4 linked regions of the Tamandua tetradactyla genome follow. The protein of the gene in region 1 interacts with the protein of each later gene in a pairwise test. Links are inferred from orthologs where the notes say so. Each region holds a gene or a part of one and is shown in the gene's direction. Other genes may lie near its edges. The genes, in order: CCDC136, KAT5, MOS and NEBL.

Region 1 (7,471 bases):
GGAACCCATACATTCAATGAAGGAGGTTAAAGTAAGATAGCAACCAGTTACAAGGTATGGGTCTTACTTAAATCATTCGAATCAGCCAGCTGGTTATTTGATATTATTTATGGTTAGGTTTTTTAAAAGAAATATAGATGAAATCTAGGATTTGCTTAAAAATATTTGAGGTGGACTTCGGATGGAGTTCTAGATGAAACAAGATTTCCTGTGAGTTTATAATTATTGAAGTTGGATGATGGATGTTCAATATTGTATTCCTACATTCATATAATTTTGAAATTTCCTATAATGTAGAACATAAAAAGAAAAAATAAAGGGAGGAAAATTAACTGTAATGTAAAACTAAGGCACTATGAAAAAAGGCAGGTTTTTGAAAAAAACTAATAAAATGTCAAGAAACGAAAATCAACCATTGAAACTAAAACTTGATGCATTTAATAGCAGATTAGATTCAATTAAAGAAAGAATTCAATTAAAGAAAATAGAGGTGATGAAATCATTCAAAATGTGGGTAAGTGATGGCATAGGAAATATGAAAGAATAGTTCAAAGAAAGAGGGAAAGAACGAGAAAGTATAATATATATCTAATAAAAGTTACTGAAAGAGACTGAGAGAATAGGGGAAATGTAATATTCCAATAGAAAACAGTTGAGAATTTTCCAAAATGGAAGAAAAACACAGGTCCTCAAGTTGAGAAAATAAACCAAGTCCCAATCACATAAACACATTGGGGTAAAAATGCAGAATGCTGAAAAGGAAGAGAAAATCTTAAAATCAACCAGAAAGAAAATATTCGCCAACCAAGAAAACAATTATATTGGCAGCCAACTTCTTATTAGCAATGAAAAATTATAGAAAAAATGAATATCTTCAAAAAGCCAAAAGAACTGTAAACATAGAGTTCTAAGCCCACTTAATTATCTTTTCCAGGATGTAAAATAAAGACACTTTAAGACAAAAGACTGAAAATGCTTACCGCTCAAAGACTTTTACTTAAATGCTACCTTAGAATAGCCTCCATAAGAAAGAAACTGAACCAAGAAGAAAGGAATGAGGTGCGAGAAGCAATGATGAACAAAGAAATGTATAAATATGTTAGTAAATCCAAATAATCACTAACCCCAGAGATGATAATAATAATAATCACCACCACCACAACATCAACAATTAATGGGGATTAGAAACAAGGTAAAATACTAAATAGAAATGTGGCAGATCATAGGGAAAGAGCAGAATTAACTCTACTAAGGTCTTTATGTTACTCAGGCAGATGATGATAATAATGATTGATTCACCTTAGATTTAAGATTGTTAAAAATATATATTAAAAGGTAATCACTAAAAAAACAAACAAACAAACAAATGAAAAAAGTAATCCTACAACAGTAGAAATAGAATGTGTAAATTTCCAAATCAGTAGAGGTTAGGGACAAAAAAAAGAAAGTAAGCCTCCTTTGGTGGAGTATAAATTGGTCCAACTACTTTATAGAGTAAGTTGGCAATAAAAGCAAAGTTTAAGATGTACATAATCTATGACTTGGAACTTCCACTTCTAGGTATCTATTCTAGAGAAATACTCACATATATCCAAGGAGGCATCCACAATACTGTCCATTGCAGCATTATTTATAATATGGAATACTGGAGGTAGCCTAAATGTCCAAGAGCAGAAGAATAAAGAAGTAAATTATGGTATATTAAAAAATGAAATAGTATGCAGCAGTTGAAATTCATGAATTGGAAGAATATGTATAAAAACACGGACAAATCTAAAATAAATATTGAGGGAAGAGAAGGAGGTTTGAGGAAGAATGTGTACAGTATAACACCATTTAGAGTTTTTAATCATACAAATCAATACTATGTATTGTTTGTGGATACACACATATACAGTAAAGCTGTAAAAACACATACAGAAAGGCTGCCTCTGAATGAAAAGATATTAACACTTGTTGGATTTCACTCATGAAATTCACTCATGAATTTCACCCTATTCACAGGGATATTAGTTATATTATTCTTTTTACTGTAATTTTCTGCATGTTTTGAATGTTTACACCTTTTCTTTTTTTTAATGAAAGGATCTAGGCATTTAGAAATAAGGGGAAAGGGGATAAATGGCTCTATCAGTCCTCAGGAAGGCTGATCTGCTGGGATGGGATTAGGAAGGAAGTGAGTCCTGAATCCAGGGATTACAAGGATTAATTTGGATCATACAACCTCCACCCCCAGCCCAAGATGATCATCTGGCTGACATTCCAACACTCCTGGGCTCTTCTGAGATGCACCCCTGGACCACAGTCCATCTCCCCCTCCCCACACCCATACCTGCTAAACCCTTTTCTTCTGCCTCCTAAACCCTCTCCCACCTTCAACCCAGTACTGGTCTGGCCAGGTTTTGCCCAAGTTTAGGTCCTGAGAATAGACTGGTTTTGGTTTCCTCTGAGTATTCCCAAATTAAGGGGAACCAGAAGCCAGAGAGAGATTAGTCCTGATCCTCAGAATCAGCAGCCCTCCCTGAGGAGAGATTAGAGTGTCACAGTCAGTAGTCAAGGCCAACTGCTAACTTGACCCTGCGGGCTGAGCTGGAACAAGGAGTGTGCAGGGAAGAATGCGCAGTCATCCGGCTTCCAGCAGGAGTCTCCATCATTCCCAGGGCTTCTATGCATCCCACTACCACTGCCAGCTCCTTTCCACCACCCCTGACAAAAGCCCAGCTCCTCAAATCTGGACAGGCCTGATGTCTGCACCTGGCCCTCTAGAAGGGGTGCAGGTGGGCTTTCTCAGCAGTCTTTTCCCAAGACTGGGTCACCTTACCCACAAACTCTTCAGGAAAACACCCTGGATCTCTCTGTTCCTCATCTCTGAGAACCACAATTGGGGGTGGGGAGAAGGGTGAAAGAGAGATGAACAGACTTACAGCATTTCTAGACAACATTTAACCCTGTAAGTGTGAAGTCTTATGCTCCATGATAAGACAGGGGCATTAATGGTAAATTTGGGAGATTTACCTTAATTAGTTTTTTCCTTTTTATCAGGCGTTTTGTCAGGTGCTGGAGATACAAAGAAGACTTAAGATACTTCCCTACCTTCAAGACATTGGGCAGATAGAAATGTAAAAACCAGATTCTGACAACCCAGAATGACTGGTGCTGCAACAGAGGAAAGGAGGACCGGGTATTACCGGAGAACACAGAAGGCACCTCCCTGGGGTAGCCCGGGGCCTCAGGGAAGGCTGCCTAGAGGTGACTCCAAACTGAGGGGTGGAAAGTAAACGAAGGAAAGGCTTACTTTCTGTGAAACAGAATGTTCAGATACGGAGGACTTGGGAACCTGGGAACCTGTAGGAGTGAACACAGACAATATACGTCCAGGGCCAGTGTGAGGGGCTAAGCAAGGGAAGAGACTGGTGGTCTTCCCAGCTTAGGAATTTCCCAACAATTTTCTGAACGTGCTGGGAAGTGTCCTCACTTCTTTTGGGGTTGAGACCTGAAGAGAAGATGTAAACATTCCTTAAATCAATGATTGAATAATTGACATATGCCCACTGGCTTCCAAACCTTTCTATGAGGGTGAAAATCAGCACTGCTCACTCTGAGCACGCTGCCGGGCGGGGTAGGAGACGTGACTCGAGGCCCATGGGAGTGGCAGCAGGGAGAGGAGGGCCAAGTGGGGTCACTAAGGAGCCCCTACTAAAAAGGCCCCTGGCTCAGGCTTGCTGAGAGCTCGGGGAAGGCAAAGTGAATCCGGCCCCGCTGTTGGCATATCCCGGCCTCAATTTCCCTCCTCCCGACAGCGGGCTGCGCTGGGGCGCGAGAGGCCAGGGCGCTGGGCTGGGGCCAGCAAGTCGCGGCCTGCAGCGCGGGAACCCGCGCCCCGGACCCGGGTCGGCGCTGACGGCGGGGACGTGGAGGGCGCGGGGCCTCCTTGGTGAGGGAGGGTGGGGAGTGTGCGCGAGTGTCTGCGCGCTTGGAGGAAACAGGCCGGGAGGATTCATCCATCCTTGCCTTTTCCCTCCACCACCACTGAACGGGACCGGGCTCCGACACAGGGCGCACAGGGACCCCCGCGCGCAATCGACTCGGGGCAGGGCCCACCGCGAGAAGCAGCGGAGCTTGTGGCTCCCACTCGTGGCTCCCACTCGTGGCAGCCCGTAAGCTCCGGCTGGCTTGCGTCGGGGGTCCGGGCCCGGCGGCTCCGGGTTCTCCCTGAGCGCGGGAACCGGGGCGTGTCGGAGGGGCTCGCCCGCCTTGCCGCGCCCGCTCGCTTCGCCCAGTCACGGAGCCGGCCGGGGGGGCGGGCTTCCGGGCGGAGCCGGCCGGGCTCGGCGTCAGGTGGTCCAGCCAGGGCCCGCCCCCTCGGCCCGCCCTCCCTCCTCCCGGCGCTCCGGGCTCCGGGTCCCCGGCCTCTCCGGCGGCGGTTGCGGCTGCGGCTTCTTCTCCGGGCGGCGGCGGCTGCTGAGGGAGCGGCCATGGAGGCGGGCGCCGGGGCCGGCGCGGGAGCCGCGGGCTGGAGCTGCCCGGGCCCAGGTCAGAGCCGCCCCCCTCCCTGCTCACCACCGCCACTCCTTCCTCGTCTCCATCTCTCCTCCCTCTAGACCACCAGGTCCTCCCTTCCTCCTTCCTCTGCTCCTCACCTTTCCTCCCTAAGTCTTCCTCCCTCCATCCTGGTCCTCCCCCCGGGCCCCGGTCTCCATTTTCCACACACTGGCCGCATCCTCCCTGGCAGTCCATCCCCTGAGTCCTCTCCATTTGGCCTCTCCAGCCCCGATAATACTCACAGCCCCTGGGTGCCCAGACCCTGAACACCCAATGGCCCCGGAGGCTCCGGAGTGCGGGGCGAAGGAGGGAGGGACGAGGTCCCCTGAGAGAATGGGAGCGGCCCCAGCTCCCTCCCCTAGCCCTCTCCCCCATCACCTCCATCCCCTTCCTTTCGCCACATCAGCCTTTTAGACTCTTCTATCTTGCCTACCTCCTCCCTATCCCTTCCGGGCTAAATATATACACACCCTCTTTCTGACTGTGCAAGACAGAGGAGCTTAAAGGAGGAGGTGCGGATGAGGTTGGGCAGTACAGAGCTGGGGGTTCTGGCAGCCCGAGTGTGAGCGCGCCCCAGGTAGGGCGGTCGAGTTGCAGAGCTGGACAAGAGTGAGTCAGGGGCCTCCACTGGGATTAAAAATCCCAGGGCTCCAAAGGGTTAGATGGCATGTCCCTCTATCTTTCTCCCTTCACCCCAGCCCCCAGCAAGCCCTCACATTCCACAATCCCTCCTCTCACTGTGCACAGGACCAACAGTAACTACTTTAGGCTCCTATGAGGGGTCCGAGGGTTGTGAGAGGAAGAGAGGCCAACGTTGGGGGTCCCTGGAACGCCGAGGAATGCAAGCTATGGAGGGTGAGTTTTCCCGAAAGGCTTCCACCCCATCCCCCAACACACGCCCAATTTCCCTTCCCTTTCACTTCCTCTCTGACCCCTAGAGCTCCCAAGTGGGACACAGCCCTTCCTCAGTTCACCTCAGCCCTCTCCCCAGGGCTCAGGCTTTAAAGGGAAATCCAGGGTGCCTCCCTCTGGGGCTTCTGTCACCTCGTTAACCAGGCTGTGTGTCCCAGGGGAGCTGGCAGACAAAGAAAGAGGCCTTGCTTGGTCAGAGCTCTGACGCAGCCTTTCAGCAGGGGGTTATTATCACTGCTTACCCACCCAGTGATAAGTGGTGACTCGCCTTATTCTCGCCTGCCATACCAGAGACTTGGGTTTGAGTCCTGGTGCCTGCCCATGCGGAAAAAAAAAAAAAAATTAGGGGGTGGGCATCTGAGCTGTCTTTCTGGTGCCACCACCATCAACTTCTGATGGAAGCTTTGTGGCGTTGGTTCTCTAGGACAGATTACTGCCTGAAAGAGAGGGCCTAGGAAGGGAGCAGATGAGAGGGCCAACATCCCACCACACGCATGTGATTTGTCAGGTGCGGCCCACACTGTCCCCTGGAAAGACACTGGTCTGTTTTTCAGGACTTCCTGTGAAGTGTCCCCAGGCCCCTCTGCATACCCTGCTGTCCCCAACAGGAACAGATGATGCAAGGGGACCCAGGTGAACCTCAGGATGCTGATTGGAGAAAATAAGACCAGAGATTCAGGGATTTAAAACAAAGCAAACGATCACTATCTAGACAAGAGTTTGTTATTTAGAGTAACTGCATTGCAGTAAGGAGGGGATGCTTACTAGCCAGAGACTGAGGCTCTATCACCCCAAGTTCTTAATGCACTAAAATGATGAGCTTTGTTTTACACACAAGGACAATCTAAGACTTCCCCTGAGAACTGCCTTATGGTCAGCAAGGGAGGAGGTGGGGCGTCATAACACTCAGGTAGAGGAGAGGAGACCTCATGGCATCCAGCAGGGAAAAGAAGGCTGAGTCAGCCTTGTCGAAAACTTCAAAAAAGCTACTTAATAACATAACGTTTGATAGGGCCCCAAAGTTTGTCCAGTAAAACACTATGAATCATTTTATTTGGATGTTTTTTCTTACTGAAATGCTTTCTTATTATAGAAAGACTAATTTTTCACAAGCCACCCAGATAATTTTTTAACTGTCTACAAATTCTGAAGCATAACTCTTGCCTCATTCGACCTAAAGACATGCACAGTGTCTGAATTCTTTCTTGGCCACTTGTCCCACTATCCAAAGATCAGGATTAGAAGAACCAAGTATCTTGTGCAAGCTGCACGTGACTGAGCCAGCAGCAGGCTAATCCACTTGCCCAAAGGCAGTGGTAGGATGGTGCAGGTGCAAAGGGCCTGGGAAGCGCTACCTCCAAACTTGACACTCACACCCAATGACTCATCATGAGCTTGGGTCCTGTCCCTCTGTGGGGGACACCAGATGGCACTATTATACTATCTCTGCCTTGGGGTAGTGAGTTTGAGGGCTTAAAGGACTGTGGGAAAGCAGTTGGCTCTTACTCTGATGAGATGGACATCTCTCCCAGGGGAGGTATTACTCCCAGCTCTCTATGAAGAGGAGGAGGAGGAAGAGGAGGAAGAAGAGGTGGAAGAAGAGGAAGAACAAGAGCAGAAAGGTGGCAGTGTGGGTTCCCTGTCGATTGGCAAGCACCGGGGCCTAAGCCTCACGGAGACGGAGCTGGAGGAGCTGAGGGCTCAGGTACTCCAGCTGGTGGCAGAGCTGGAGGAGACCCGGGAACTGGCCGGGCAGCATGAGGATGACTCCTTGGAGCTGCAGGGTGAGTGCTTGTGTCGGGAACTGAGGGCCTGGGCTCAAAGGTGCTGTGCTCCTGTCTGACTCTGTTCCTTCCTCTCTCTGCAGGTCTCCTGGAGGATGAGCGGCTGGCCAGTGCCCAGCAGGCAGAGGTGTTCACCAAGCAGATCCAGCAGCTCCAAGGTAACTTTCAGGTCTAGGACTGGAGGGCCGGTGGCCACCTATGTTACCATTCAAGTACTTTTCCCCTGACAGTTT
Region 2 (7,613 bases), on another chromosome or scaffold:
TCTGCTGAGAAATCTACACATAGTCTTCTTGGGTTTCCCTTGTATGTGATGGATTGTATTTCTCTTGCTGCTTTCAAGATCCTCTCTTTCTCTTTGACCTCTGACATTCTAACTAGTAAGTGTCTTGGAGAACGCCTATTTGGGTCTATTCTCTTTGGGGTGCGCTGCACTTCTTGGATCCGTAATTTTAGGTCTTTCATAAGAGTTGGGAAATTTTCAGTGATAATTTCTTCCATTAGTTTTTCTCCTCCTTTTCCCTTCTCTTCTCCTTCTGGGACACCCACAACACGTATATTTGTGCAGTTCATATTGTCCTTGAGTTCTCTGATACCCTGTTCAAATTTTTCCATTCTTTTCCTGATATTTTCTGTTTCTTTTTGGAATTCAGATGTTCCATCCTCCAAATCACTAATTCTATTTTCTGTCTCTTTAAATCTATCATTGTAGGTATCCATTGTTTTTTCTATCTTTTCTACTTTATCCTTCACTTCCATAAGTTCTGTGATTTGTTTTTTCAGTTTTTCTATTTCTTCTTTATGTTCAGCCCATGTCCTCTTCATGTCCTCCCTCAATTTATCGATTTCATTTTTGAAGAGGTTTTCCATTTCTGTTCGTATATTCAGCATTAGTTGTCTCAGCTCTTGTATCTCATTTGAACTATTGGTTTGTTCCTTTGACTGGGTCATATTCTCAATCTTCTGAGCGTGGACAGTTATCTTCTGCTGCTGGCATCTGGGCATTTAGTCAGATTTCCCTGGGTGTCGGACCCAACAAGGTTGTAAGATTTTTCTGTGAAATCTCTGGGTTCTGTTTTTCTTATCCTGCCCAGTAGGTGGCACTCGTGGCACACGTTTGTCTGCGGGTCCCACCAGTAAAAGTTGCTGTGGGTCCTTTAACTTTGGAAAACTCTCGCCGTCCGGGAGGTTCGCCAGCCGAAGCGGCTTGGAAGAGTGCCAGCTGGCCCGGGGTCCGAACGCGGGGAGGGTTGCTGGCCGCCGCCGCCTGGGAAAGCGCCCGTCCGAATTTCCTAGTCGGCCCAGGGTGCCAAGCTTGGCGGGAGGGCGCCAGTGGCAGCGGCCCGCCCGGGAGAGTGCACGTTCCCGGGGAGTCACGGGTTTGGAAGGGCCCCCCCCCCCGTCGCCGTTCTCCGCGGCCTGGGGATTTCCGATCCAATTCTCTCAGTTGGTCCGGGGGTCCGCACGTGATGTGGGCGCCAGCCGCCGCGGTTTGAGGGGACCGCCTGTCCAATTCTCCCAGCCGACCCGGGGAGGGGGCAGGGAGTGACTCTGGCCGCTTGCCGCCCGGTGAAGCCCGCGCCCCTCGGCGATCTCACCAGAGCGGGTTCTCTTAGCCAGCCAGCCGTTCCAGGATGGGGTACGCTGTCTTTTTTATCTCTGTCGTGGCTTTGGGAGCTGTTCTGTATCGCTTCTACTCCCCTAGTAGCTGTCCTGGAGGAGAAACTAAGATCCGCGCGTCTTACTAAGCCGCCATCTTCTCCGGAAGTCTCCAATTGCTTTCTTTTTTTGAGTATATAGCTGTTAGTTTTTTTGTTTTGTTTACATTTTCCTTCCACTTCTCATTCAAATTTCTCTTAAGAGGTGTCTCTTTGTGCTGCTTCCATTTCCTTGCCTCCCTCACACTCTGGCTTCTTCCTGTCCCCATGTCTGCAAGGAACTCCTCTCTGGGCTCTGTGAAGAACACCCCGCTGTCCACTCCAGCAGGCATTTTCCAGGCCTTTCTGCCATCTGTGCAGGGGATCCCCAGATCCAAGCCTTCCCTGTGGGCCCTCTGCCCAGCTCAGGCTCTCGGCCCCACAACCTTCTGGACATCCCCACTTTGAATCTAGCAAGCTCAACCACCTCACATCATTTGCAAAATACAAGGCTGTGTTCAGTTTTTCCATAAAGGGACTGTGATTTATTAGAATAAAGATTCTCCTTCCAAAGTAACTGAGACTCCCAGAGATCTTGGGTCTAGATGGAGAACTGCTAGCCCCCAACAGGCCAAGATCCCTATCTTTCTCTCACCACATTTTGTCATTCCTCAAGCTCCTGCCCCCTTCAGCCCTTGCCTCCACAGCTGCAAAAACTTTCTAGTTAGACTCAGGTCTCCACTCGATTGAGCCGTGTCCCCAATAATCCTTATTCACTCAGCTCACCTTTCTAAAACTTGAATCAGATAACACCATTCCTTTGCTCCGAATTCCCCAATGGCTCCCACTGCCTTTAAAGCAAAACATGGCTTTGATACAAGTGCCACAAAGGGCCCTGTGAACTCTCAGACCTCTGGATTATCCTCTGGGACTGTCTCCCTATTCACATTCGCTTCTCTCGTTCTTGGAATAAATGAACTACCCCCACCCTCCCTGGCTTCTGCACTGGCCATTCCTTCCCAGTGGGATCTCACCTTCCCCAGATCTTCTAATGCTGTCCCTTTTCATCATTAAGAACTCAGGTCACATGTTCTCCTTCAAGGGACATCCTGGCTGCCTCCTAACAGCCACTCCACTCTCCCCCATCCAGCAGCTACTGTGTTGATGTGACTGACCCACCCCAGCTATGCGAGTCAAAGCCAGTCAGGGTAGCCCTAGGCCCTTGATCACAGAAACTGGCTGAGACATTGGCAAATTCCCTAAGATGGTTCAACCCAAGGGGAGTTCAGGACTTTCCTGCCATAGCTGGGAAAGAGATTTCTCACTGGACATGACCATGGACACAGGTGGGTGGCCTTGGAGCTGTGGGCTGCAATCTTGCAACTGTAAAGGGGAGTCGGCCTTAATGTGGAAGAAAGGCAACCCCAAGGAGTTGGGAGTGGGAAGACATAAAGAAACCTGAGTTGCTGGTGACACTGTTGAGTCCGGGGATGACACCCTTCCTAAAGCTTCATTGTGCCTTTGGGCTTCATGGGACAAGACAGTCCCTGATTAGTCCAGCTTGAATGGGGCTTTGTGCTACTTGCAGGGGGAGCAATTTTGACAGACAGCTGTCCCAGAGACCTAGAGACCTGCACTGGCAGCCCCACCCTCTCTGACATTCTGTTTTATCATTTCACAGCACTTTTTGCAAACGATCATTTTTGTTTTGTTTTATTGAATTGTTTATGTCTGTCCCAATAAAGCAGGCACCTCATCTGTTTTCACTCATGTTGCTGTCCCAGGGTGTGGCACACAGTTGGTGCTCGATTAATATTGGTGCCCAAAACCAATATTCATGTGTTAACTTGGCCATGTGGTGGTGCCCGGCTGTCTGGTAGGGCAAGCGCTGGCCTGTCTGTTGCTATGAGAACATTTTGTGGACTTAAATCATGATCACATTGGCTGCACCCATAGTTGATTGCATTTATAATCAGCTAAGATGAGCGCCTTTTGAAATGAGGGTGCTTAATCTAATCACCGGAAGGCTTTTAAGGGGGATTCAGAAGAGACAGTCACTCTTCCTTCCTGCTTCAGCCAGTGAGCCTCTCCTGTGGAATTTGTCCAGACCCTTCATTGGAGCCACCAGCTTCACAACCTGCCCCATGGACCTTGGACTCTTACACTTCCATGGTTGTCCAGCCAGGCTTTCCTGAGAGTTCGTTGAGGACCTCATTGGAGTTGCCAGCTTGCAACCTTAGACTTTACATTCCCATAGTTACATGAGACATTTTATAAATTTTATATCTATCTCCTGCTGATTCTGTTTCTCTAGAGAACTCTACCTGATACAGCCCCCAACCCCTTTCTATAGCTAACAACCACCCATCCTCTAAGCCTTAGGTCAGGCATTGGAAGCTCCAAGACCCCTCCCTATATGCCACCTGGATCAGCATCTCTCCTGAGCCCCGGGTTGCCCACCTTACAGGATTAACTCCTGTCTGCCATAAATGTCAGTTCACATCCCTGGCTCTTCTTCAATGTCAGGTGCTTCATCCATTTGACAAGTTTTAGCTGGATGCCTCCTGTGAGTGTGACACTATTCTAGAAGCTGGGAAAATAGTGGAGGACAAAACAATAGAAACACTGCCTTCATCCCAGAGTGGGAAAGACAAACCAAATGAATAAGGAAAATGTATGATTTGATAGCTGGGGATAAATGCTCTGAAAAAAAAAATGAAGTGGATGAGGAATACAGGGTGGAGGGGAGCGTGGGGACAGGTTTAGCTGGGGATGTGAAAGAAGACCTCATTGGAAAGGGGGCCGTTTTGGTTTCCGGAGCTGCTTAAGCAAATACCATGCAAAGGGCTGGCTTAAACAATGGCATTTCAACAGCTCATAGTTTTGAGGTTAAGAAAAAGTCCAAATCAAGGCATCATCAGGGCAATGGTTTCTCCCAGAAGCCTGTGGCATTCTGGGGCTGGCTGCTGGAGATCCACGGTGCTGGGCTTCTCTGTCACGTGAAAATGCCTGTGGCGTCCTCTCCTAGTGTGCTGGTCTGAATCCGTGGTGGACCCCAGAAAAGCCATGCCCTTTGATCCTCATTCAATATTGCTGGGTGGGAGCATTTTGATTGTTTCCATGAAGATGTGACCCACCCATTTGTGGGTGGTAACCTTTGATTAGATGATTTCCATGGAGGTGTGTCTCCACCCACTGAAGGTGGAGTTGCTTGCTGGAATCCCTTAAAAGAGGAAACATTTTGGAGAGAGTCCCTTTTTGGTAGAGCCACGAGAAAGCCAGCAGATGCCGCCATGTTCGCCATGTGCCCTTCCAGCTGAGAGAGAAACGTTGAACGTCGTCGGCCTTCTTGAACCAAGGTATCTTTCTCCGGATGCCTTAAATTGGACATTTCTATAGACTTGTTTTAATTGAGACATTTTCTTGGCCTTAGAACTGTAAACAAGCAACTTACTAAGTTCCCCTTTTAAAGAGCCATTCCGTTTCTGGTATATTGCATTCCGGCAGCTAGTAAACTCGAACACCCACCATCTCAGTTCTCTTTTAGCTTCTGGTGAGTTCTAGCTTCTTACTTCCTCTGGCTTTCTCTTTTAATGTCTGAATTTCATTCTGCTTGTAAGATATAGATAGGATTAAGACCCATTCTGATCGAGCTGGGCCACGCTTTCACTGAAGTCACCTCCCCCAAAGATGTTACTTACAATGGGTTTGCACCACAGGAATGGATTCAGTTTGAGAACATGCTTTTCTGGTACTTACAGCTCTGAACCACCACAGTGCCTTTTTTTTTTTTTTTTTTTTTTTTTTTTTTTTTGGTGCATGGCCCAGGAATCGAACCTGGGTTTCCTGCATAGAAGGTGAGCATTCTACGCTGAGCCATCCATGCACCCCACAGTGACTCTTGAGCAAGGACTTGTATGATGTGAGGGTGTGAGCCCCGTAGACAAATGGAGAGAAAATGTTGCAGGCAGAGGAAACAGCAAAGGCAATGGGGGAGGTAGGCGCTTCCTGTGCCCCAGAAACAGCAAGGAGGCCGGTGTGGCTGGAGTGGGTGACGGTGGGGAAAGATGAGGTCAGAGTGGTAACTTGTGTGTGTGGGGGGAGATGAATTTGTGCAAGGACTCTGAATTTTACTCTGAATAAGCGGGAAACCACGGGTGGGTTTGGATCATCAAAGGGACGTGGTGTCAATTATATTTTTAAAGTTCCCTCCTCTCCTGCGTATGAGGCTATTGCAGTAGTCCTGGGTGCATCTGGGTGATAATGGTGAAAGCAGTGAGAGGATGTGCTGATGGGTTGACTGCAAACCAAGCAGAGAAATCAGGGATGACTTTAAGGTGTTTGGTCTGAGCACATGGAAGGATGGATTCGTGACTGACACGGACAAGAGAGATGGTGGGACAAGCAGGTTGGGAATGAAAATCAAGGGTTTGGTTTTGGACACGCCCTTCAGACATCCAAGTGGAGATGGTGAGTGCGCACTGAGTCTGGAGATCACGGGAGAGGTCTGGGCTGAAGATATAAATGTGAGAAACCTCAGCAAGTGAATAATACTGAAAGCCATGAGCCTGGAGGGGATCAAGAAGGGAGCAAGTGTAGATAAAAGTCCAGGAAGAGGACCCAGCAACGGAGATGAGGAGTGGCAGAGGAAGGAGGAAGGAAACCAGAAGAGTGTCGTAGCCCAGACGCCAAGAAAAGGGTGTTTCAAGGAAGAGGGAATGGCCAATGGTACCAAATGCCACTGAGAAGCGGCCATTAGATTAGACGTGTGGATGGGAGGGGCTGTCACGAATGACCTTGGCCAAGAGGCAGGGCTGAAATCTGCCTGAAGTTGATTCGTGGCAGACTCTCAATAAACATTGTCTGCATCAGTGAATGACCAATTTCAACTGCCTTCCTTTCGGTCTCCCTTTCTGTTCTGACTGCCCCAATTCTGGGACACCGCCACCAGGTGATCTCAGCACAGATGCAGTCTTTCCCCAAATACAACTTCAAAGCAAACCCTGGTGGGATGAACATGTGAACAACTGGCATAAGGATCATCTTTGTGGGATCGTTTGCAATAGGAGAAATTGGACACAACACGAAACTGGCTATGACAGCTAAGAGGCATCTAAGACAACAAAACACTGAAAAGCCATTAAAATAGTGCTTCAGATACCTCACAAGGCTTCAAGTTTACACTGCTAAGTGAACAAGCTGATAACAGCAGAGTGCACACAAGAAGAAACTATTTTTGTGTTGATCAGAAAATAAAGCAGGGGTTGACTAATGGTTTCTGTAAAAGGCCAGACAATAAATATTTTAGGTTTTGTGGGCCTTGTACTCAGTTTTAGAGTGAAGAGAATCAAAGACAATATATGAACGATGAAAGTGGCTATGTTCCGATAATACTTTATGGACCCTGAATTCTGAATTTCATATAATTCATGCAATTTCACACAATGTTCATGAGCCACAAAAGTTCTTTTGTTTTTTTTCCCCAATATTTAAAAAAATTAAAATCCTTCTTAGCTCATAGGCTGTAGGAAAGCAAGCAGTGGGTTGGATTCGGGCTGGTGGCCACCATTTATCCACCTTTGCTTTACCGGAGAGTCAAAATGTTCACGGTGTCCATTGCCCCGTGATGATGTGAGTTTGGGCTTTCTACTCCCTTACTGTGGTCTGTGTTTTGGAATATTTTCCCCTCAGATATGTGCATGGCTCATTCCCTCACCCCTTAAAATCTTGGCTCAAATAATACATTGTAAGCCACCTGCCCAAAGCACTCTAAAATTGCAACTAAACTTTAAAACTTACATTGCTCGATTTCTTTTTTGTTTTCCATCAGTTATCACTCTTTAATATCCTAAACGATTTATTTTTTCACTGTGTTTAGTATTTACTATTTCTATCGCAAAAAATGTAAGCTCCATCAGGGCAGGGGTCTATTTTGTTCGCTGATGTACTCCAGACTCTTCGAATAGTGCCTGACACATGGAAGGGACTCGCCATATATTTTTGGAGTATATGAATGAATAATCCACACATCACTCTCTAAAATCAGAAACCTAATATGCAAAAGAACAAATCTAGACATCTTTGTAAGTCCTCATCTCTAAGGGACGAAGGCCACATATTTGGCCCGGCATGCAAGGCCCTTCCCAGTTTGAGTCCCACCCACTTCTCCAGCCGGGAATAGCTGCCGCCCCCTCTCTAGACCCCCTAGGTCCGCTCAGACACTGCACGCCCCCGCCGGACA
Region 3 (5,668 bases), on another chromosome or scaffold:
TGTCCCTATCACTTTCTCACAGACTTTTTTAAAAATCCCAGATGTTTTGAATCAACTCCACTCTTGTCTTTGTCTGGGTATGATGTGAGGTTATCACATTTGATCAGATTAATGTACACCTGTAGCAGTTTTAGTCCATAACAGTAATGTGACATGCTTTTCTATCTTTAACATCAGAAATAAAATTTTAAAGCAGAAAAATGCTCCAAGTAAAATTTAAATTGGGTTAATGCAATGTTACCCTACAGTCCTGGTAGAATAACTTTTAAACCAATACTGTCTAACGGACTGTGAAAGTTTGAAAAGGTTTGTGTACCCTAGAAAACCATGTTTTAATCTTAATCCCATTTTGTAAAGGCAGCTGTTTCTTCTAATCCCTATTCAGTGCTGTATGTTAAAAACTTTAATTAGATCATCTCCCTGGAGATGTGACTCAATCAAGAGTGGTTGTTAAACTGGAATAGGTGGAGACATGTCTCCACCCATTCTAGGTGGGTCTTGATTACTTTACTGGAATTTTATAAAAGAGAGGAGATTCAGAGAGATCTGGGAAGGATGACAGAACGCTGCAGAATGACATAGCCATGAGAAGCAGAGAGTCCAACTGCCAGCAACCTTTGGAGATGAAGAAGGAAAATGCCTCCAGGGAGCTTAATGAAACAGGAAGCCAAAGAGGAAGCTAGCAGATGATGCCGTGTTCGACATGTGCCCTTCCAGCCAAGAGACAAACCCTGACCGTGTTCACCATGTGCCTTTCCACTTGAAAAAGAAACCCTGAACTTTATTGACCTTCTTGAACCAAAGTATCTTTCCCTGGATGCCTCAGATTGGACATTTCTATAGACTTGTTTCAATCAGGACATTTTCTTGGCCTTAGAACTATAAACCAGCAACTTATTAAATTCCCCTTTTTAAAAGGCATTCCATTTCTGTCATATTGCATTCCCTCAGCTAGCAAACTAGAACACAGATGTTTGTTTCTTAAGGGTATAAATCCACACAGATTATTTTTTATGAGTTTTGTAATAATAACATTTATGTGTTACCATAAGCCGGGCCCTGATCTAAGTATTTGAAACTGTTCATCTTCACAGCAAACCTGAAGTCAGTAGAATATTTTCCAGGTGAGGAAACTGAGGCACAGAGACAATAAGAAACCTGGGTCATGTGACCCTAAAACCTTTGTTCTTTATGACCTGGTTTGGGCTTTATCCATTTTGGAGATACAAAATATTATATATAATACTTTAAATTATATAATATTATATATCTGTACATATATACATGGTAACAAAATCAGGATTAAAATTAAACTTTAATTAAGAACTTTTATGTACTAGGTACTGTGCTACTCACAGGAGAGAAAAAAATCTCTAAGGGACATAATTCCTGTCTTCAGGGCAATTATAGTTTACAGAGAAAGAGAAACAAATTTTAAGATGCCTAAAAAAAAGGAAAACAAATGGCTATTTTAAAAATGGATATTCAATTAAATATTCTTGGACAATTTGGCAGGTGACAGATCTAGTGGATTTAGAGTTCATGCGTGTATAGATTACCACATTTTCCATAGTACCTCACATTTTATGTGAAAAAGTCAGACTCTAAACTTTGAAAAAATTGTTTATGCTACTACCTTAGAAATAAAGATTACATGATAACAAGTCACATGATCTTAAATCATAAGTAGTAGCTAGAAAGTGTAATGTCTATCGCTCTTATTCTGCTACTATTTGCAGCACTCCAGCATGTTACAACAATTTCAGAACCTTCATATTCATGGTTATTACAATTCCAAATAGATGATGGCTATTAAGTCAGTTTAGCAATTAGACCTATTATAGGATATAGTTTTATTACTTTCTTATTTAACTCTGTTTTAGTTTGTAAGCTGCTGGATTGCAATATACCAGAAATGGAATGGCTATTAAAAAGAGAATTTACTAAGCTGCAAGTTTACAGTTCTGAGGCCATGAAAATGTCCTTAGAGGCACCAAAAAGAGGTTACCTTCACTCAAGATAGGCTATTGCCATCCAGAACACTCCTGTCAGCTGGGAAGTCACGTGACTGGCATCTCCTGGGGTCTTTGGGTGTTGGATACCTCTCTCAGCTGGGAAGGTACACAAATATCTGCTAGCGTTCTCTCCTCATTTCATAAGGCTTCACCCGCGGTGCCTTCCTTTCACATCTCCAAAAGGTCTCTGGCTGTGTGGGCTCTGTTAATTCTGTTGGCTCTAAGAATTTTTCCAAAATGGTTCCCTTTTAAAGAACTCTATAAGCAACCCCATTTGAATGGGTGAAGACAGATTTCCGTGGAAACCATCTAATCAAATTTACCATCCACAATTGGGTGGGTCACATATCCAAGGAAACAATCAAAAAGATCACACCCAGCAATACTGAATGAGGATTAAAGGATGTGATTTTTCTGGTGTACATAATAGCTTCAAACCCACACAACTCTGTTCATTGTTGTTTTGGTTTGCTCTCATCCTCTTATATTTGGGGTTCAGTACAATTGCATACAACTGTAGTTCTACTAAAATATTCTATAGTTTAATGTTTAGATTTTGTTTTATTGTTGTTAATCTGGACAGGATTCCCCAATTTTTATTCCAAGATGATAATGTTTATTTTAATATTGAATATTATCCTAATTTCTTACATGAAAAGATTGAGGCTCATACAGGTTTAATCTAATACCCAACATCATATACTAAACCAGAGGAGTAGCACGGAATAAACATCCTATTCTAAAAAGGACTTAATTTCAAATTACATATGTAAATGAGCCATGTTTCTTAACGTATCTTCTCAGAACCAACATATTTCAGAAGCAGAGAAGAGCTATTTTCATAGAAATGTGCTTGCATATCACTTATGTGCTTTTAGCACTGAGTATCAGAATGGAACTTTATTATTTGACAGAAAATACAGATCCTAACATTCTCATGTGTTTTGTAATGGATAGGGTAATACTGTTTATCATTTTCCCAAGGATATGGTATGAAAATTACTTTTTCATTATGAAACTTAGAAAGGAAGAACTTATGGTTGGGTTGCAAGACCCTGAATTATATTTCAAAATCTGATTTTCCGCATTCTGTATAGGCACCAGTGAGTCCGTGCTATCTTTTTATCTTCAGAGTTTCCTCTTCTAGAATTCTCCTGTACTTATTATTTGAAGCTCTGATCATGACTCTGAGCCTTTTTTGTTCTGCCCCTGATTCTGCTTCAAAACTTCTGTAACTCATTTGCTGCAAAGTCTAGAATCTCTCTTGTAAGTGAGCTTTCTGGGTGGGCCGAATTGCTATGGAATGGGAGGACTGCTGGGAAGTTGATATGTTGCTAAAATCTTGCTAATTTGCCATATAAGCAGAATAGAGTGTCCGAGAATTTTCCTTTTCCCTGATGAACTTAGGAGGTGTGTGTTCTGAGCTGGACAGTGCTTCTATTTGGATCAATTACTCCAAGATTACAACTTTTATCCATATGAATGTGGCACCTAATTATCCCTGTAATCGGTTAAGGAAATGTCTGCTGTTTGTCTTTCAACTCTTTCTGCCAATAACTGCTGGAAGTTATTTGATGCAGCTGGAGAAGAACACTGACAATCAGAGTCTGCAAAGTGTGAAATAATTTCATTTTACTATTGTGGTCTCTTTAGTCTCAGGTCTGATAATGTTCAGCCGATGAGACTTGGAAAAAGCTCATTTTGCTATAATTGAAGAAAAGTGTCACAGAGGGGGAGCTGTGGGGCAGCTCCATGCTGTTTATATGGTGAGCTCTTCCTGAGAGCTTGCTTTTATAAGAATTCACTTAAGTGTTTAAGGGAAATGCTTTCATCTGAAGGTGATTGTTGTGCTTCCTTCAGATTTTTCCCCTATCCGATTAAACACACACACACACACACACACACACACAAAACACCCTGGCTGTGCAAAGGCACACAGATGTGGCTCATTTGGAGACAATGAAGGGAGAGGATAAAGAGGCTGTGGCGCCGGGAAGGCCTGGTCAATCATGCATCCAAGCTGGCGCAGCCCTTTCTTTCCTCTGCGTCCATCTGGGTCCCGGGTCTCCACCCTGAAGGCGCCATGCCCTCACCTCTCCCTCTGCGCCGTTGCCTGCCTGGAGAGCTGTCGCCCTCGGTGGACTCGCGGCCCTGCAGTAGCCCCTCGGAGCGCCCAGGTAAGGCAGGGAGGCTCTTCTGGGGTGGCACCCCGCCCAGGGCGCCGCGGCTGCCACGCCGGCTGGCCTGGTGCTCCATTGACTGGGAACAAGTGTGCTTCCTCCGGAGACTGGGAGCTGGCGGGTTCGGCTCGGTTTACAAGGCCACTTACCACGGTGTGCCCGTGGCGGTGAAGCAGGTGAACAGGTGCACCAAGAACCGCCTGGCATCGCAGCGAAGCTTCTGGGCTGAGCTCAACATAGCCAGGCTCCGGCACGACAACATCGTTCAGGTGGTGGCGGCCAGTACGCGCACGCCTGCGGGCTGCGATAGCCTGGGCACCATCATCATGGAGTTCGGGGGCAATACCACTTTGCACCAAGTCATCTACGGCGCGCCCCACCACCGTGGGGACGAGGAGGAGCCTCGCTGCCGGACCGGGGAGCAATTGAGTTTGGGAAGGTGCCTGAAGTATTCCCTAGATGTGGTGAACGGCCTGATTTTCCTCCACTCGCAAAGAATCGTGCACTTGGACCTCAAGCCGGCTAACATTTTGATCAGTGAGCAGGACGTCTGCAAAATCGGTGACTTTGGCTGCTCCGAGAAGCTGGAAGGCCTGCTGTGCCTCCAGCCCCCACGGTGCCCCCTGGGTGGCACATACACGCACCGAGCCCCGGAGCTCCTGAAAGGAGAGGCGGCCACCCCCAAAGCAGACATCTACTCCTTCGCCATAACCCTATGGCAAATGGCCACCAAGGAGGTGCCCTACTCGGGGGAACGACAGCACGTGGTCTATGCAGTCGTGGCCTATAACTTGCGCCCCTCTCTGTCCGCGGCGGTCTTCACGAACTCGGTCCCGGGTGGGAGACTGGAGTGTATCATTGAAGGCTGCTGGGCGCCCAGCGCTGTCCAGCGGCCAAGTGCAGAGCTCCTCTTTGCGGACCTTAGCTCTTTAAAGGCTGAGTTCGCCTGGCTTTGAACTTGCTTCCAGAGAAGCTTTTCCCTTTATTTCTATTCATTTTTTAAAGAAGTGGCGTTGTAGAAAACTATTTGTAAGACAGGTTTTTAGAAAATAAAGTGACTTAATAACTTCTTTAGTCTAACATGGTTTTACCAAGACAAACAGGCAGGACTAAAATTTGAGCAATTGTGTAGAAACTACCGTTATTCCTTTCTGCAGTTAGTTTGCTTGTGTTCACAGTTAGCACAGTTAGTACAGTTAGTACAGTTATTCAGATTTGCTGTTGACAAAACCAGGTTGTGCAGAACAGAATGGAACTGCAGAAATGCCAAAATTTTCTATGCATTCGAACAGTATGTACCATACCCACCATCTAACTTCAAATGGTCAAATTCAAACTGTCACAAATTACTGGTCCTATGCCAAATCCATAAAGACTTTTTTTAAAGTTATTTTTTTCTACTTCCTCCTCTAAAATAGCATTCTCATTTGTAAGGACCCTCACACATAATATTCAGGAATTGAAACTAATTTC
Region 4 (7,943 bases), about 60 Mb from region 1:
ACCGCGGCCCGCCCGCCGAGCCCCCGGCTCTTTCGGGGGGAGGGTCTCGTGTGATTACGGAGTTAGCGTCACTGTCCTTGTTATTTCAACTGCACTGTATCTCAGTAAGTTGCATCTTAAACCAAAAGTCTTCCAGTCCACTGGGCGTCTGTGTTAATGTGTGCGCCGAGTACGAACGTTTTTTCTCTCGGTGTGTTTGGAGGAGTGCAGACTCTTCATTTTCGCACCCCAGACACTCCCAGCCTGGAAACTGCTGTGCTAAAAATTAGCTGCTGTTTCTTTTCTTCTCCTCCTCCTCCTCCAATGGCAGTTTAAATAGGAAGTTCTCATTTTTGAATTGGGTTTCTGGTTGGGAAAAATAGGAATATAAATACTGAAAAGCACTCTATTAAATCTTATTTTAACAGCATAATTGGTGATTAATTGGGTTACTTTGTATTCTTTTGATTTCTAATTAACAAACAGTAATGACATAGCTATTAAAAAGAGAAGGTATGCTTAATGAATGTAGATTGCAAAAATAGATTGATCTAATATCAGGCAGAAATCTTCTCTTTTAAAAAGGAAATAAATTGCCCTAGAATGCTTGCTGTTTCTTTTCTTAAGGACAGTCTCCCTCTCCCATCCGTTAGTAAAAGCTCTCTTTGGGGCAGATGCCAAAGTGGGAGGATAAATAGCCTGAGAAGCACCAGCCTTCTGGAGCATAATCTTACATTTTTAAAAAAGGCTGCTAAAACTGAGTGTGTGAAAGACCATCAAAGCAGGAAAAGAGGTCAGATGACTAATTTCTCTCCCAGCTGACTATCTAGGGTGAATATTTTGTACTAAGAAATGTTGAATTAATTTTTAAATGGAAAAGAAAAAAAACCAGTTTTATTCCTGTAAGTTTTCCTCAGCCCCATGCTGAATCCCGAGCTGCTGCCGCCTCCGTTAGGGCTCTCCTTTCCAAGGCGGACCTCACTGTGCTGGGAAAAGCACGTGTCCCACACTGTGAGGGGAACAGGGAACACACGGAAGTGAGTGAAGTCCGCGGTCTTTATCAGGAGCTGGGAGAATCTTGTAGCCTGTGACCTTAAGAAAAAAGCTGAAGGAAGACAGTCAGGTGCTCGTTTGCCCCTGGTTGTGGGATGGATGAGTTTCCTGGGCCAGGTGTGGGGTCTCCAGAAACCTGAACTACCCACGGTTCTGCAGTTGCTATGGAAATGTATTTCCTTACAAAACAACGCCTTGCTATAAAAAAATACAAGAGCCCTGTGTTCTAAGTCTTCAGCTGCCTGTTATTTCTGTGCTGTCTGGTTGTAGGAAGCCTCCCGTGCCTTTGAAGAGACGTTGATGGTCCCTGTCTCCCTTTTAAATGAGAAGACCCTTCCCCTTTCCCCTCAAGGGCTTCTCTGGAACTCTGTGTCCTTATGGGGTAGTTGAAAACTCTTGTCTTTGTAAGGGTCTTTACTCTTCTCAAAGGGGTTTTCTTTTATTGACTGACAGCAGTTCTGTTTTCTGTTTAACTGTGCAGAACTGGGGACCGAGGGGATTAAATCATTTATCCCGAGGCCACAGGAATGGAGCCCCATCTCCCTGTCATTCCAGGTCAGAGCTGGGGTGGAGCACGAAGGTAAAAAGTAGACAGAATGCTTGAAATCCTCATTAAGAAAAAGGTAGTAGGTGCTACATGGGTGATCTTTTTTGGGGTGCTCCAAGGTGAAAATATGTATCAGATTAATACCTGGCAGAGGTGGTACATTCTCCCCCCCGCCCCCCACCGGACGCACTCAAATGACCCATTCCTGAGACGCCGGCGTTTCAAAGAGAGTTTACTGCTGGGCACGAAGCAGGAGCTCAGATGGTCAGTGAGCCCGAAGACCTCTCTCCTCCAACCCAGTAACTCGGATAGTTTTGTAGAATTGAAAGATGGGCAGGGTTTAGGATCAGACATCATGTAGTGTAATTAGAGGTGATCTAACTACTGAGGATGTGCAGATTGATCACACGCTTCATCACAGAAAGTCTGTGGGAAAAAGGCCTTCATGTGTGGTGGGCATGATTTTATTATAATGAGGTCAGGTGACTTGTAGGTTAAAGTCTGAACTCCTGCGCATGCCAGGCCCACTTTGGTTAGATCCGGTCTTTGTTCTCAAGGTAACTTTGGTATTGGGTGGGTTAGTTCTGGGCAGACCCAAGGCCCTTTATTAATAAACTTCTGGGGCTGTCTTTAGTGATCACAAGACTCCAAAGTAAAAAAAACTGGATAAAATGGGTACAAGTGAGAGTCATTCATAAGGTTTTTATAATCACAAGGGCACAAGATAAAGGCTAAACTTTCATTATCAGAGGTCAAGGCAGCTGGGTTGAAGTTCAGAGATTTCAGGTATTTTCCTTTGTCTACTCTAATATACCAGAAAGTAAAAAGGAATATCTATAAAATGATTTGATAATCATAATCATCCCTTAAATCCTAACTTCTTGGTTACAAAATTGCAACATTGATCTTGGTTTTGAAAAAACAAAAAGGTGATAGGGAATTTTGAAACATGATGGCGCTCCTTCAAAGCTAATTTCTTCTTATTCCCCAAGTCATATTTTGGAGCTATTAATAAGAGCGATTTGCTGTGAAAAAACACTTGACCTATTTTTTTGGAGGAAACTTTATGTGGATTTTGTATGTTACTTGTAGGTGGAAGGAAGGAAGGTGCATTTAGTCAAAAGTAACGGCGTCTCCAGCTTGCCAAACAGCCCAGAAGGAGTTTATCCAGCCATCTTCAATGACGGCTCTTTTATTTCCTACCTTCTCTGGGTGGAAAGTTTGAGTGTCTCCCCCTTGCCTCCCAGTACTGAGCTCAGGGCCTGACAACACAACATTGTTGAAAGAATGAGCAAGTTAGGTTCTGCTCCCAGCACTCAGTTGAACAACTTTTGCAAGTGAGACTTACAGACCATTTCTGTGGACCTTAATTTTCTGCTCTGCAAAGAGAGAACTCAAGGTGGAATGATTTCTTAGGGATCCCTCTGGTGTTGAATTGTGATTCTAAAATCTCAAATAGACTTATTTAAAATTGCTTTCACATTACATGTTGGCATTTGATTTTGCTTTCAAGACTTTTCTGCATTAAATCTCAACAGGTTATGTTCTTCCAGCAGAGATGGAGAGACCATAAGAACATGATGGGGAATCCGAAAAGAACCGTGGATGAACCTGAGGAAGGTAATGCGTTATGGGGCTGAGATCTTTCCCTGAGCCGCACAAGCATCTCCTCTCCAACACGAGCCAAGGCTGTGTCCTAGGCAGCGTTGGCGAGATTTTCTCCTTATCCCTCTAGAGGTTGCAAGAAAAGCTTGTACAATGTCTATTTCCTATTGTCCAGAAGCAGTAATAGCACGGGTGTTCAATAGGATATTAGAATAATCATCTGGCAGAGTTCTTGAGGGGACAGTCAGAATTCACCCCACCTGCTGCTTTGTGGGACAGAGAAGCTCCTGGTTGCAGTCGCTGTGCTGGGCAGATGTGACACACCTGTTCTTTCCAAGTGAAGTTCTCCAACTTCAAGACTTTCTGGCAGTTTCTCTTTTGATGTTTTGCTGGTCAGTAGGATCTGTGATGCTATTAGATGAGCCAGTATCAAAACCAGTATCATGAAAAGACCAAAAGCAGTTCCAGAGCATTCCATGTCGTTAGCATAGAGAGAATGTTAAAAAAAAAAAAAATCAAAGGATTTCACGTTTGGGAAATGTGGAGGTAAGTAAAACCACATCGGTTTCTTGGTCTTGAGTCTTCTCAGAGCTTCTAATGTGGTGTGGAGCTCAAAGTGGTCTCAGTAAAGATTTAGTGTATAGGTCTCCAAAGATTGTTGATAGAACCCCTGTTTTTTCACAGAGTATTTTCTGGAACTTTTGCCCATGGAATACAATCTGAGAAATAATCTGTAAATAATGATTGTGTAGATTTTTTTTTGCCAGAATTTTCAGTTTAGGCAAGATCAAGGAAAATATTTTTTAGTAACTTGATATCTGGATTTAATAGCAAGAGAAAGCACCACTGTGCTTGGCTATTTTGCTGATGTATTATTTTGAATAATGTTGTATTTTATATAATTGGTTTCATTATTCACTATAGGGCATTTTTTAATGTTCAGCAGGATATGCTGTAGTTTTGCAAACCTTAATTTACCCTAGGATTAAATAACTGAATGTACAAGTTATGAGCTGTGTGGAGACTTGGAGTTTGTTCTGAGAAATTTTTTTATTATATGGTTGATGATACATTATAGATATTGTTATAGTTGATGTTTATATTTCCAAGTGTGGTACACATTGGAATACATAAATAACTAGAGAATTAAGAAAAATTGACACATGAGCAGGTTTGAGATGGTGACATTTCTAGAATCCTTAAATGATATAAAAAACATATGTTACCTGCAGTTTCTTATGTGTAATGAGGTTTGCAATTAAAATGATGTAAAACAAACTAATATAAGATTAACTGTCACAGTTAACTCAGGATAGATTTTTTATTTTTAGAACTGGTTCGGAGGGCTTACAGTAAATTATGAAAATAATATTATCAGCTGATATGACGTGGGTGTTTTCAGAATGTGGGAAGTACATGCGTGTCTCATTCACGTTTTAATGCCGGGCAGTGAAATGAGTTTCAGAAGTTCGGATCCAGCGCACCAGAACAGAGCTTTGTCTGACATTCCAGCAAAAGCTTTATTTAGGTGGCGTTTTGAGGGTCTTTGAGATAACCCTGTGTTCCACTGCGAGAGCTCCAGTGTCCCAGCTCGGCAGTGTTCCCATAAGCTTTGTGTCCTTTTCACACTATTTTATGAATGTTTCGTGCATTAGTGAGACGTGCATCCATTTTCCCCTTTGGGTTTCTTAGCCAATTTAAAGAATGCTGGCTTTATACGTCACAGCACTCCATTTTGTCTGCTCATGGGGCTGGCCTGGCGGGTGGAGGCCTCTCGTCCCGGCCACTGGCGCGGAGTTGAGATAAGGAGGTGAAGTGTGAGCTAAAGCGGGGTGAGGCCTGGGCAAGGTCATTTGTACCAGGACACCAGAGCACAAGGCTGCAAAGCCCACCGGCCACGAAAAGGCAAGCACGAGTGAATTTAACAAATACGTAGGTTTTAAAAGGGTCACTATGAAGGTCCCGGTATGTGAGGATTTAAAAGATGGAACTGAAGAAGAAAACGCAGGGGGGGAGGAGAACGAAGATGACATGGTGAGTGAGGGGATGCCTGCTGAGAGGTCTTTGCGTGGCTCTCTCAAAGCCAAAGATGAACAGGTTTCCTTTACTTGCCTCTCTCTCTCTCTCTCTCTCTCTCTCTCTCTCTCTCTCTCTCTCTCTCTCTCTCTCTCTCTCTCTCTCTATTGACAGGTGTTCTGGAAGCCTGTAATTGAAGACCTACGCATGGAATTGGCCAGAAAATGCACCAAACTGAACAGTGATGTGAGTGGCTCCAGTGATTTCTGTCGTATTTTGCGTTGTGTGTGAGGCACTAGGATGCATGGAATCCTGGGGCTGGGAGAAACTCTTGAAATTCTCTGTTATTTACCAGCTATGGAACTAAGTCCAGAAATTTCAAATGACTTCCCCAAGACCCCCTGCGGGAGCAGGTCTCCTCATTCCCTGGCCAGAATCCTGTCTGTTGTGGATTTCACTGTCCCTCTGGCATGAAATCATAAAGCATTGAATTTCAGAGCATATTCCCTGTGCGAACCCAAAGATTAAAAAAAAATATGTGTATAATGATGTAATATGTTTTGGGAGGATCTCTATCTAAATTAGTGATTTTTAAAAACGTTTTGGGGGCCTTTGAAGAATCTAATGATGAATGCAGTGGTTCCCCTAACCAGAAAAACGCGTATGCCTATATGCGCAACGTTTATTTACAACTTAGGATCCAGGGGTTCCCACACTGCAGGCTGAGAGCCCTGGAACAGATGACAGTGACTTTAGTAAAAAAGCAGCATTTTTTGTAACGATTTTTAAAGTAACTGGGATCAGTTTATATTATGTTTCAAGGGAACCACAGAATTATAGCATTATTTAACGCAGATATAGTTACAGTAAATACATAGATGAGAATTGCAGAAGCTCACAGACAGGTGTGCTTGCCGAGGGCGAGGGTTTAGGTCACCCTCTTTAAAACGGTGGGTGTAAGGCACCCCCAGCCTCATTTACTCCCGTTACCTGGCAGCCCATGGGTAACGGGCGGGGTGGGGGGATGGCTGCACCGGCCTGCCTGGGTGGACCTGGTTGTAATCTTGGGTGGGGATGGGGTGGGGTCCCGTGGCCTCCCGGGCTCAGGGCCTCACCTGGAACCCCGTGAGAGTAAGAACCACGCGGCCGTGCCTTCCAGGCTGGGGACCCCAAGCGCGCAGTGCACGCGCCCTGGGGGGGCTTCCTGAGTGTGGCTGTGGCCCTGCGGTGCCCCTAGGTTGTCAGAAACAGTGGGGGGAGGGGTCTCAGCACCGTTCCCATATCCTTCTATCCTTCGCGCGGTTGTAGTGACATTTTAAACTGTTTCTTTGTGCTGTCAGTTAGTCCCAATGTGTCGATCGTGAGCATTCGCCGTATACTGTAACAAGAATGAGGAGACCGCCATGATGATGCAATAACTGAGACTTCCAGGGTGCTGGGGCCTGGGGAGAAGGGTGTGTTAAATCCCCTTTCGGAGGTGAGGGAGGGAGGCTCTGAGGGGTCACGCAGTTCAGCAGTGGGGAGCAGACCCCGACCCCCAGCCCCCGCAGCTGAGGCTGCTTGCTGTATTGTGCTAGTATTAAGGACACTAGTGTCACCTTGAAAACCTTAAATGCCCAAACTCTCCACAGACAGGTACAGTAGGGTTGTCATGCCTAAAACTAAAGTGACAGCTTCAGTTAGGAGGTGATTTTGTGGGAGTTATTTTGGGTAACATAGTTTATCAGTGACTTTAAAATCAGCCCTGCAGTGAAAGGCTCTGACCTTACCATTTTGTAAAAGCTGAAGTCCCTCTCATGTGGATGAAATCACACACACGGCAGTGCTTTCTACTTACAGCTCGGTGTGGCAGAATGTATGTTTAAATATTTTATATTTAAATATTTGGATACACAAATATCAAACATTTAGCGCATGACTGTTGTGAATCAATTTATATCAGTTTTCATTTGTACTTTCTGTCTCAAAATAGAATTCTGTCCTTGTGAAGAAGGCACTGCTTTAATTTTTAGAATTTTATATTTATCTGTGCACAGTCTAAAAATTCTTCTTTGTTAAAAAAATGAAAAAAGGAGTGAGTATATCGGGTGTAAGTACAATCATTTAAAGATGCATTTTCATTTATCCTTTCTGGAAGGACTTGAACTAAATAAAATGTTGGTTTTTTAAAAGACTGGTTAAACAGTGTTACTAAATAGTAAGTTCCTTATTTGGTCTCAGTATCATCATTGTTTATATGGAGCAGGGGGACTTAGACATTGAGTTCTTATGTTGTCCAGAATGTTGTCCTCTCGGCTGAATGGTTGTCAGAAGTGTGTACTTGGTGCTATGTTCATCGTGGAGTGAAACCCGAGGGAGACCCACTGCGCTCAGCCAGGCCTGCGTGACGCCCCTCCCAGGGCCCCGCGTTGAAACTGTGCGCCTCTCCTTCCCTGGCCCAAACTGAAAGCTCAGCACACCTTCAAGTGAGGGCTTGTTTGGTAATCCACCGTGTCCCCAAATACCGTCCGTCTGTTTGCCTGAGCCTTTCTGGGGTTGGAAGTCACTTTTGGTTTTTGTCTGTTTTTTTGCATGAATTGGGTTGTGGTTTCCCTCCTTTCTAGAGTGTGGCATCTGGAAGCTTCCGGAAGCAGCCTCACAGTCCTGCTTGTCCAGACGCTCGGCTGGTGCGCCCCAGACTTGGGCTTGGAGATGAGCTTGATCACTGGAGATGGGCCACAGCCCTGTGTCCGCCACGTCCTCC

Evidence for each region.
Region 2: the proteins of CCDC136 (region 1) and KAT5 interact in binary tests that used the Homo sapiens proteins (3 or more experiments, as listed by UniProt). The two-hybrid records come from large-scale screens. The link is inferred for Tamandua tetradactyla from reciprocal best matches to the Homo sapiens genes CCDC136 and KAT5.
Region 3: the proteins of CCDC136 (region 1) and MOS interact in binary tests that used the Homo sapiens proteins (3 or more experiments, as listed by UniProt). The two-hybrid records come from large-scale screens. The link is inferred for Tamandua tetradactyla from reciprocal best matches to the Homo sapiens genes CCDC136 and MOS.
Region 4: the proteins of CCDC136 (region 1) and NEBL interact in a two-hybrid assay, tested with the Homo sapiens proteins (2 studies listed by BioGRID and IntAct). The two-hybrid records come from large-scale screens. The link is inferred for Tamandua tetradactyla from reciprocal best matches to the Homo sapiens genes CCDC136 and NEBL.

What each region holds. Positions count from the first base shown.
Region 1 is NC_135327.1:170,216,935-170,224,405, forward strand, and holds the start of CCDC136 (coiled-coil domain-containing protein 136), read left to right. Parts: upstream 1-4,460; 5' UTR 4,461-4,475; coding exon 4,476-4,533; intron 4,534-5,289; coding exon 5,290-5,397; intron 5,398-6,986; coding exon 6,987-7,238; intron 7,239-7,321; coding exon 7,322-7,396; intron 7,397-7,471. UniProt on the Homo sapiens protein: May play a role in acrosome formation in spermatogenesis and in fertilization.
Region 2 is NC_135335.1:8,814,756-8,822,368, reverse strand, and holds the start of KAT5 (histone acetyltransferase KAT5), read left to right. Parts: upstream 1-4,608; 5' UTR 4,609-4,657; coding exon 4,658-4,731; intron 4,732-7,613. UniProt on the Homo sapiens protein: Catalytic subunit of the NuA4 histone acetyltransferase complex, a multiprotein complex involved in transcriptional activation of select genes principally by acetylation of nucleosomal histones H2A and H4.
Region 3 is NC_135332.1:99,783,600-99,789,267, reverse strand, and holds MOS (proto-oncogene serine/threonine-protein kinase mos), read left to right. Parts: upstream 1-4,098; coding exon 4,099-5,151; downstream 5,152-5,668.
Region 4 is NC_135327.1:229,742,407-229,750,349, forward strand, and holds the start of NEBL (nebulette), read left to right. Parts: upstream 1-4,928; 5' UTR 4,929-5,137; coding exon 5,138-5,218; intron 5,219-5,374; coding exon 5,375-5,446; intron 5,447-7,943. UniProt on the Homo sapiens protein: Binds to actin and plays an important role in the assembly of the Z-disk. May functionally link sarcomeric actin to the desmin intermediate filaments in the heart muscle sarcomeres.